3 linked regions of the Macaca fascicularis genome follow. The protein of the gene in region 1 binds, or shares a complex with, the protein of each later gene. Links are inferred from orthologs where the notes say so. Each region holds a gene or a part of one and is shown on either strand. Other genes may lie near its edges.

The links.
Region 2: IGF2BP1 (region 1) and ELAVL4 share a complex: the UniProt entries of both Homo sapiens proteins name them as parts of the TAU mRNP complex. The link is inferred for Macaca fascicularis from reciprocal best matches to the Homo sapiens genes IGF2BP1 and ELAVL4.
Region 3: IGF2BP1 (region 1) and G3BP1 share a complex: the UniProt entries of both Homo sapiens proteins name them as parts of the TAU mRNP complex. The link is inferred for Macaca fascicularis from reciprocal best matches to the Homo sapiens genes IGF2BP1 and G3BP1.

Annotation. Positions count from the first base shown.
Region 1 is NC_088390.1:57,676,068-57,679,720, forward strand, and holds part of IGF2BP1 (insulin-like growth factor 2 mRNA-binding protein 1), read right to left. Parts: exon of another isoform or gene 2,650-3,653; intron 2,644-2,649; coding exon 2,362-2,643; intron 828-2,361; coding exon 693-827; intron 1-692. UniProt on the Homo sapiens protein: RNA-binding factor that recruits target transcripts to cytoplasmic protein-RNA complexes (mRNPs). This transcript 'caging' into mRNPs allows mRNA transport and transient storage.
Region 2 is NC_088375.1:184,544,793-184,548,445, forward strand, and holds part of ELAVL4 (ELAV-like protein 4), read right to left. Parts: intron 805-3,653; coding exon 651-804; intron 1-650. UniProt on the Homo sapiens protein: RNA-binding protein that is involved in the post-transcriptional regulation of mRNAs. Plays a role in the regulation of mRNA stability, alternative splicing and translation.
Region 3 is NC_088380.1:158,647,794-158,651,446, forward strand, and holds part of G3BP1 (ras GTPase-activating protein-binding protein 1), read left to right. Parts: intron 1-577; coding exon 578-674; intron 675-2,307; coding exon 2,308-2,509; intron 2,510-3,653. UniProt on the Homo sapiens protein: Protein involved in various processes, such as stress granule formation and innate immunity. Plays an essential role in stress granule formation.

The sequences.
Region 1 (3,653 bases):
TTGATCACATGAACTATGGATAAGCTATACTGTGGAATTCTATGCAGTTATAAAAAGAATGAGGTCTGTCCATATGTACTAATATACGTGCTGATACAGAAAATGAAAAAAATATAGAACAGCCTGTTCAGTGTGATTCTCTTTGAGCTAAAACACATGTGCACACATGAATACACACAGGCACACATAACCATACATGTAGGCACGCATACATAATATACACACACTTGTGAGTGCACAGAATTTCTAGGAGGTCATACAACAGGAGTAAGAAGGGGTGGGGTATGGCAGCACACGCCTATAATCCCAGCAATTTAGAAGGCTGAGCTGGGTGGGTCATTTGAGTCCAGGAGTTCAAGACCAGCCTGGGTAACATGGCGAAACCCTATCTCTACAAAAATCACAAAAAACTAGGCAGGCGTGGTGGTGCATGCCTGTTGTCCTAGCTACTCGGAAGGCTGAGGCGGGAGAATCCCTTGAGACCCGGAGGCAGAGGTTGCAGTGAGCTGAGATCATGCCACTGTACTCCAGCCTAGGTGACAGAGTCCCTGTAAGAAGATTTCTCAGTTTACATCTTTTTGTGCAATTGCTGACTGTATTTCTTATATGTCTGTATTACAGCTTGGAAGTTGAGTTGGGGAGGCTAACTGGACTACCAGTCCCTGAAGAGCCAAGAAAAGCTGGAGACTTACGTTTTGGTGTCCTTGGCCTCTTTATGCATAATCTCCAAGATCATCTTGCAAGCGGAGGAGCAGCCCTCAGGGGTGGAGTGCACACTGATGGCTTTTTCAGCTGCACCTGCATTCTCCTTCCTATGCACGTCTATCCTGGGGGCCACAAGAACAAGGCTGGTTAGTCGTCCCCAGTGATACCAGTACTTCAGGCTCCCCACCCCCACTACCACTCCTCAGTCAAAGGCATAGAACCTGCTCTTCTTGGAACAAGGCCAATCAAGTTCAAATTTGGGAAGGGCAATGAAAGGACTGGAGAGACATGACCCATCTGTTACTATGGATTCTCTCTCAGACCAGCAATGCCTCAATCCACAGGTGGTTGGTGGCCAGGCACGGTAGCTCATGCCTGTAATTCCAGCACTTTTGGAGGCCAAGGCGAGTGGGTTACTTGAGGCCAGGAGTTCGAGACTAGCCTGGCCAGCATGGTGAAACCCCGTCTCTACTAAAAATACAAAAAAATTAGCTGGGTGTGGTGGTGCACACCTGTAATCCCAGCTACTAAACAGGTTGAGGCACAAGAATTGCTTGAACCTGGGAGGAGGCTGCAGTGAGCTGAGATCACACCACCGTACTCCAGCCTGAGTGACGCAGTGAGACTCTGCCTCAAAAAAATAAAAAATAAATAAATAGATAAATAAATAAGTGGTGGCTGGGGACAAGAACACAGCAGGGGTGGGAATTACACAAATGCAGGGGTGGGAACTACCAGCCCACAGTTCCAAAGCTGCATTTCCACTTGAATTTCGTATGTCCCCCTTGAAACAAATATAAAGAGAGGACACAGTGCCCCAAACTCAAAGTAAATAACAAGAGTTACTATGATAAGGACATAATGTGGCATGTCCTTTGCCACTGAGTACACTGATATGATATAACAATTAGAGAAAAGGCCTGGTGTGGTGGCTCATGCCTTTAATCCCAGCACTATGGGAGGCTGAGGCAGCCGGATCACGAGGTCAGGAGCTCCAGACCAGCCTGACCAACATGGTGAAACCCTGTATCTATTAAAAATACAAAAATTAGCCAGGCATGGTGGCACGTGCCTGTAATCCCAGCTACTCGGAAGGCTGAGGCAGGAGAATGGCATGAACCCGGGAGGCACAGGTTGCCATGAGCCAAGATCACACCACTGTACTCCAGCCTGGGCAACAGAGCGAGACTGTCTCCAAAAAAAAAAAAAGAAAAGAAAAGATTAGAGAAAGAAGGTAACAGTGGCAGAATGGGAGATGGGACACAATTAATGAGGGTCCTAATTTTGGACAGGTTGGCCAGCCCTGTTACCACATTAAGTGGTCATGAAATCACAGAGGACTGAGGAGTGGCTGACTCATCAAAATGAGGTTTGCTTGGAGACTTTTTTATGAAACTGCACGAAAAATTATAGAACCTCTCTTGCTAAAACAAGTGTGTGGCCCAGCACCCCAAGACCCATTCTCCCTCCCTATCTGCCCTCCCTTTCCCAGGAGGCTGGTATTGGAAGCAGTGACCCCTGAATGCTCCAGGCAACATTTCCTAAAAGGTAAATGTTGATGTCCCCAGCATGCTTCCAGGCTTCTAGTGGGCCTCTTTAGGTACCAACCACTGTTCCCTAGCAACCAGCCTCCATTTCCCAAGAGCCAGGACTCACTTGGACTGGGTCTGTTTTGTGATGTTGCGGATGGTGGCCCCCTCCTTGCCAATGATGGCACCCACATACTGGGTGGGCACCAGGAGCCGAAGGGGGATGTCCACTTGCTGCTGCTTGGCTGGGGCCCCCGCTGCCACAGGTGAGCCCTGGCGGGGCTGACCCCGAGAGCCAAAGCCCCCTCGGCGCCCATTCTCAGGTCCCTGTGCTATCTGTTCATCAGGGATGTAGGAGACCTTCAGAGCATGGTTCTCCAACTGGTGGCCATTCAGCTTCATGATGGCTCTGGGGACAGAGTGAGAGTCTACAGTCATTCCAATCCATGCCAATCATACCAGACGCTCTCTTGGCCAAAGCACTCTAGTAAGTTACAGCTTGGAACACACTAAAGAAAAGGAGATAGTCGCCTGCCCACTACTCCCACCTCCATTTTATAGAACTTTCCAGTCTAAATGGCATCAGACTCCAAAGGAAAAGTAAATAAATACAGTGTTCCCTAACTTAGTTGGGATTTAATGTTCACAAAGGCCTTCCACTGGAACCATCAGAGAAATGGGCTTCTAGTCCAACAGAGTATAGGGTTCTGTCAGCCTAAAAAGGAAGAGCAAGCCATAAATCTCAAAGTCCTCCCATGCCAACTGGAGAGCATACCACAGACCTGAAGAGGCTCTGCAAAGCTAACACGTACACTTTCTGGATTGAGGAATCCCTACCACAGGGTGAGGAAACCGACTGCTAACTACTACATTATCCTAACTTTGGAGACAATGAAACCAAGGTCAAAGGAGATTGAGATGTATATATGTAGAATTCAAATGTTAATCCTGCCCTAAAGAAGTGTGGGGTTTATTTTTGTTTTTGAAATAAAATCTTTCAGGCAAAAATTAATATTTCCATAATTAAGATAGAGCAAACACACATTCTTGAGTCCATTATTTAAGCAAATTTATACTATAAATGACTTCCATGAATATTAGAGTTCCTGAATATGATTTGAATGTTTGCCTACAGGCTTATAGGAAGTTTCTGTAGCCTTCTCTTTGTAGAAATTCCAGTTTTTCTAAATTTTTCCTTCCTTCAGGTATTCCATTTTGCATTCTTCATAAAAGGCTGGATCATTGTAGTGAGCAGTTAGACATTCTTTTAATAGAGGATTTTCTTTATGGCATTTTCCTACCATAAGGATTCCAGAGTTCTTGCAACATTTGGTAAAATCTTGAAGTTGTTCAGAACACCTCTCTCTGGCCTTTTCTCTCATTATTTTAGGGATCCAAACATCTTTTTCAAGATGTCTG
Region 2 (3,653 bases), on another chromosome or scaffold:
GATAAATGTGCTAAACTATTCTCAGGGGGTGAGTTCTAAATTGGAATCAAATTGGAGGTAGGCGAAAACACCTTGTCATTAAAAATGCAACCTAGAGTACCTGACATTTCTTACTGAGAGGTGGTGGCTGCCTTTCTTTATTGTAGACAAAGAACCCCAGTACCAGATCCTCAGTTCAGATCCCTGTACTGCTACTCACTAGCTTTGGGGAGTTAGATCCCCCACTTTCAATCTGTTTTCTCATGTGTGAAATGGGACAATTCCTAACTCTATAATGCCATGAGTTGGAGTTATAGCTACGCATACAGGTTATTTTCACATACAAAAGTAATGTTATTTGGTTGAGGGCTGAAAAAGACTTTGAAGGTCATATAGTTCGACTCTCAACCTGATGCCTGAATCCTTTTTACAACCCTGCCAAGTAGTTTAGCTGCTGCTAAAACAAGTCCCATGATGGAGAACTACCTCCCAAGATGGCCCATTTTAAATTTGGGCAGTTGACCGATAAGAAGTCTTTCTTCCAAGTCAAAAATCTGTCTATTCATGATCCCTATCATCTGCCTTAAGCAGCCATCAGCCTTCTGCTCTTATGAGTAACAGGGCTGATGACATTGATATACACAGAAAGAAATTACAAAGAAACACTTAACCTGTGACTTGATCAACCAGGATTCGTGAGGTGATGATACGGCCGTATTGCGAGAAAAGCTGCTCCAGTTCCTTCTGGGTCATGGTTTTGGGAAGGCCGCTAACATAGAGGTTAGCATCCCTGATTGAGGCAGAGCTCGGACGGGCATATGAGACCTAGGAAAAGGCAAGAGGAGCTAATTCCATTATAGGCAATCACCCTCAGAGTAGACGCCGAGTCCACAAACAAGATGACAGTCCCTCATCTACCGTTACAACTAATGGTGTCAGTTTAAATCACTCAGTAGTTCAGATTTTTAGCTACTCTTCTAATAGTAATGAGAACCAGGAGAACAACAATAGAGGAACAAGAGGAGAGTTGATGATAACTTAAAACAAATGCACAGATAAGGGTCTCTAAGTGCAGAACAAAATAGCTACTGTATGGCAGCTGTTAAATGCAGAGCTACCCACGCATGGAGTTCTGAAGATTTACCTCCTGGATGTGGGTGTATAGATGATTTACTGTATCCAACACATAATAATCTTTGAATAAACCAAAAAAAAAAAAAACTCATGAAATTCTGCTCTGCACATTTCTCTCCTTGCCACCCTCCCTACCCCCATCCCCTTCTTCCTGAATACATAAAAGCAATCAGGTTTTCTGCAAGATTTTTTTATGTTCCATCCTTTGTGTTGCTCCAGTCTGCTCCCATGAGGTCTGCTCTTCAACGAATGACAAAGTGCTGGTGAAATAGGGCTGAATGAACATCTGCTTGCGAAACTGGATATGTGACCTTGTCGTCACATCTGCAAGGACCAGTTGCCTCTAACTTTGAAGCAGGGCAGATAAAAACCACAACAAACAAAATGGGGGCACGATGGAAAGGAGGGAGGGAAAGGGCAGTAGAGAGAGAGAAGAGAGCCTCACCAATGGTTATAATAAGTTCGACTTTGTAAATTTGTCCTCCCAGATCTCTCAACTGCTTTTTTTCCCCCAAAAAGCTAACACAGAAGTGTAAACAGATCTGAAATTCCATCTGCAAGAAGCCAAATCTGTAGCAGTACACATAAGCAAAGCAAACCCCAGCAGTCATTAATTTTAGACTTTCATTTACTTATTTATTTATTTTTTAAGAAAACAACATCAGACATTTGAAATATAATTTACAGCTAGTCTAACAAAAGCACTTTCCTGCTAAAGCTATTTCTGGGGTGGTTATGGCTCAGAATAGATGATGAAAACAGTCATTTCAGAGCACATCTGACAACGTTGGACAGGAAGAGACCTATATGCCTTAGCATTTTTCAGTTGGAAGTTTTATTTAATCCATATAACTGATTCATAAGACCTATTAAGACTGTAGGGGTGAGAGTGTGTGTGTGTGTGCACATACACACAAAAGCATGTGTGCAAAAGGAATTGAACACGTTAAACCAGACCTTTGACATTAAGACCTAAACCTCCAGCAGTAAAGTGGGCCTTGCTTCTGTGACCTTCAGGGAAGAGAATGGGTCTAGCAAAGAAGATGAAGGATGAGCAGAACCCTCATCCATGGCACTCTCCCCCTTTCCATGACAGACATGCCAGGTCCCTTTATGAGTTCCACACCTAAAAATAGATGTTGACTCAACAGATAAAATGATGTGAGTGACTAATCTGCCTCGCTGGCCTCCTCCTGCTGATGGAGTGAGGCAGCTGCCTTCAGTATCTCCATCTTCTAGAAACTCATAGGTGGGCTGGGAGGCCTCTGGAGGCTCCTTCCCAGCACATGGCTGAGAGGTAGAGGGGCCTTTATACACAGGGTCCCAGTGTGTGCATTTGGGTGTGGGCTGAAGGACTAAGAACCCCATGTGACTGTCTGGACGGGGTTTCACTCCACGGAAGGTTCTCCCACCCCTGTTTTTTAAGGGACCAAGTCTGTCAATAGCAGAACCATTTTTTGAGTAGGAGGAAGAAGTGGTAGGAGAAGGAAATAAAAACATCATAGTGATATGCCCATGGCAATGAGGGTCACCCTTGTTTCACCCTGCCAATTACTGACAAATTAATTATCTGAATGACATTTGTGCTCCCTCAAAACACAACCTACCACTTTTATGCCATTGCTCATACAGACATTTTTTTTTCTACCTACTTCCCCAAGTCCAAATCCTACTCCTCTTCAGGGCTCAGCTCAAATGACATCTTCTCTAGGCAGCTTTCTCTAATCTCACCTTCTCCTAAATAATCTCCCCAGCAGTGCTCTCAATGAACCATGGTACTTAACCTGTTTCAACCTTAACTCATCACCTCTCCATTGAGGCTGATGATCTCTTTAGGTTGTAGGTCTTGTGTGTGTGTGTGTCTTATTCAACTCTGTGGCTCTAGCTCCCAGCACATAGCCTGATACCTATCGAGTATTCAACACCAACTGAAAAAAAAAAAGAATAAACACCCACAGCTCATGGGAAATGATGCTGGCATTACTGGCTCTTTGGAGTTAACTGTAGCTCTAGTAAGGTGGACCGCTGAAGAGTCAGGCACCCAGAATCCCAGCTGTGTTTCTCCACCAAGCTAAGAGCTAAGGGACAAATTTCCCATTTTCTAGTGCCTGGGGTTGGAAGGACTGAAAGAAGATTGTTTTAGGACTAGACATCACATAGAGGCCTTCTCTTAGCAAATATTTCCTCAGGATCTACTGTGAGCCAGGTACAGTGGTATGTGCTGGGAACACAGCAAGAACAAGGCATGGTCTCTTGCTGTAAAGGAACTCCAAGTCCAAAAAGGGCAACAGACAATACACAGGAGGCACTCAATAAAATGTGTTGAACAGAAGAATGGATGAGTAAACACACAGACTAATTATCACAGTGCCACAAGATGTGTGTGTTATGCCAGGGATACGTATGAGTGTGACTGAAACACAGAGGAAGGAGAGATTAATCAAAGGTTAAAAGGGCCAGGAAGGAGACAGAGCTGAGCTGAGACTGGTGGTGAGAAAGGTGGTGGTGGAGTCAGGGAATGGTGGCCTGATAATAGCCTT
Region 3 (3,653 bases), on another chromosome or scaffold:
CTAATGTAGCCAGTTATGTGAAAGCCTGCATTAGGCTCCATGCTCTTAAAAACCAAGACACTACAGTAGCCTTAAAGTCTATCCTTAAGGCCGAGCGTGGTGGCTTACGCCTGTAATCCCAGCACTTTGGGAGGCCAAGGCAGGCGGATCACGAGGTCAGGAGATCGAGACCATCCTCGCTAACATGGTGAAACCCTGTCTCTACTAAAAATAGAAAAAATTAGCCAGGCGTGGTGGCGGACGCCTAGCTACTTGGGAGACTGAGGCAGGAGAATGGTGTGAACCCGGGAGGTGGAACTTCCAGTGAGCCGAGATTGCGCCATTGCACTCTAGCCTGGGCGACAGAGCGAGACTCCGTCTCAAAAAAAAAAAAAAAAACAAAAAAAACAAACCAAAAAAAGGTCTATCCTTAAAAGCCTTAGTTCTGTCCTTAAAGTCAATGCCATGATTTTTACCAAATTGCCCTACTTTATTTATATGTGTTTTTCTTCACTGTTGTTTTGTGAACATTGTGAAAGTGAATGTATATGTGAATTCAGTAAGTACAAATTATTTTAAATATCTTTTTCTCACTTAGAATCTGAAGAAGAAGTAGAGGAACCTGAAGAAAGACAGCAAACACCTGAGGTGGTACCTGATGATTCTGGAACTTTCTATGATCAGGCAGTTGTCAGGTAAGAAAATTTTGTTCACATGTCTGCGGCTGCATAAGAACTTGCATTGTCTAGTCTTTCCCTTTGTTGGAGGGCATTTACATATTCTGAGAATTACCTCAAAATAATAATTTCTTAGAAGAATGGTTTTGTTTCTGGTAATTTTGAGTAAACAAAAATATGTAGCTTATTGTTAATAATAAATTGTACTGTGAAGGCAATCTACTATTGCTTAGTTTAAATAATATCGGTTTCTTTTTGGTTCAATTTTTTCTTGGTGTTAAGTGAAAACTTGCATATTGTTTATCAAGAGTTGGATGTATTGAGGTATTAAATGCTTTGACGGAATATGAAGTGGACAGACACCTATTAGAGATTGGGCATAAATTGATATAAATACCAATATGTGAGTTAAGTAGCAATAAAGAATTTCATTACCTTTGTAAGTGCATCATTGTACCTTTGGGTTTTTTCCCCCCTTGTGATTGGAACAGAAATGTATTTGATAGCAAAAGAAATCCATATTTACTTGTTACCATGTGACACTGAATGTTAATATCAGTGCCTGAAGGGTGTTTTCAAGTGTTTTTCAAGGTGTGATGAACTAATCAGGTTACTCACTTGGATTGCTGGTTGAAAATGAAGATTCATGGTCCCACTGCAAACCTACTGAATTAGACTTTCAGGAGGCAAAACATCTGCAGTTTTGTTTTTGTTCTTTTGAGACAGTCTCGCTCTCTTACCCAGGCTGGAGTGCAGTGGCATGATCTTGGCTGACTGCAACCTCTGCTTCCTGGGTTCAAGCAATCCCCCTGCCTCAGCCTCCTGAGTAGCTAAGACTACAGGCGCATACCACCATGCCTGGCTAATTTTTGTATTTTTGTAGAGATGAGGTTTCGCCATAGCCAGGCTGGTCTGGAACTCCTAATCTCAGGTGATCTGCCCACCTTGGCCTCGCAAAGTGCTAGGATTACAGGTGTGTGCCCAGCCCCTCTGCAGTTTTAACAGCATTCCTGGTTTGATTTATGTGGAATTTTAAGAATTGTATTCTGAATCATAACTAATATATTTTCTCCCCCAAATTCTTTACGTATTTGAAAGTTTTTGTGTGTTTGTGTTAAAAGCCACATATCATAAAATTTGCCATCTTAACCTTTTTTTTGTCTTAACCATTTTTAAGTATAAAGTATAGTAGTGTTAACTGTATAGATACGGTTGTATGACAGATCTCTAGGACTTTTCACCTTACAAATCTTATTGAAGATAACTTCATATACCTTACAAACAGACTGTACCTATTGAATGGCAACTTTCTTTCCCCCCTCCCCCAGCCTATTTTGAGAGTTTTTCTGATGTTGTATGCTAAATGAATTGTAATGATTGTGGGATTCCAGCCATAAAGTGGTTTGGTTCATTTTGATGTCCTGATTCATTTGCTTATCAGAATTTGCCCAAATGGATTCCAGTGAAGTTATTGAGTGGCATTTTAAAAATTACTTTTTAAAAACTCAGATATACAATTCTTAGCTTTTTTTTTTTTTTTTTGAATAGAGGGAGCTAACTCTATGTTCTGGTTTCTGGTTAATAAATGATGGGGAATTTTTTGCGAAATAAATGGTGGCAGAATGATATTTCTCAAATTTTTCCATCAAAGTAATGACATGGAAGAACATTTAGAGGAGCCTGTTGCTGAACCAGAGCCTGATCCTGAACCAGAACCAGAACAAGAACCTGTATCTGAAATCCAAGAGGAAAAGCCTGAGCCAGTATTAGAAGAAACTGCTCCTGAGGATACTCAGAAGAGTTCTTCTCCAGCACCTGCAGACATAGCTCAGACAGTACAGGAAGACTTGAGGGTATGAAACATGTCTTCATTTTTATTCTATTTCTAGTTATTTTTTAAAAAAGAGAAATCTCTGTTCTGTATTGCTGTTCGGTTGACTTTTGTAGATACATTTTCATATTGGTGGTTCATTTCAGGGAAATTTCTTAGATATTGAGCCATGCCTTTGATAAGAGAGAGGTAAGATGTGTATTAGTTTATTTCATCAAAAAAAACCACTCCCTTCCCCTAGGTAACTTGAATGCCTGTTAGACTAGAAAGTTTAGGTGCCACTGTAGCACCGTGTCAGTGATTCCTTATCTTTTTAATATTCAAGCTTTTACACTATAAATTATTACATGCTTGTTACTACAAATTTATAACATCTTTTTAAGGAAAACAACATGGCAGAATATACTTTTTCTATGAAATTTTTTTGAAGATAACTTTATAGTGGAAGTAGGAATGAACTGCTGAAGTAAGATTTCTTTGCTAGTTGGCATACCTGATTTCGGAAGTTTTCAGTTTGTCCTCCTGAGTCTTATTAGGGTGTTGTTAACTGAACTCATGAAACCTTTACATTTGGCACTCTGAGAAGGAATATAATTTTTAGTGCTGTATTGATAGGCTCAGGGTTATGTCATTTGTTTGTTCAACAATTAATTCAAATTCCTGCTGTGTGTTAGGCATTGTTCAAAGTGTAGGTATTGGCAAAACAGATAGGGGTTCTTGCTCTCTGGCAGCTAATAGGTGAGTAGGAAAGAGCAATGTTGAAATGACTTTAGCTTGCAAGTGGAAAAAATTAGCTGGTCATGGTGATGCCTATGTGTGATCCCAGCTGCTTGGGAGGCTGAGGGAGGAGGATTGCTTAGCCTGGGAAGTCAAGGCTGCAGTGAGCTGTGATTATGTCACTGCATTCCAGCTTGGGAGACAGAGTAAGACCTTGTCACAAGAACAAAACAATAAGAAGCAAGTGGGAAAGTAGTTTGACTGGACCAGATGACCACTTAGTTGGTTATTATAGTAAACCTAGTAAGAGAGGATGATGGTTTGAATTAGAGTTGTGGCAGTGGAAATGGAAAAGAAATAATTAGGTAGAATAACAGGTTGTGACAATTTTTAAATGTGTGAGAAAGGTGTTCATGATGATTCTACAGTTGATATAATTGAGTCAATGT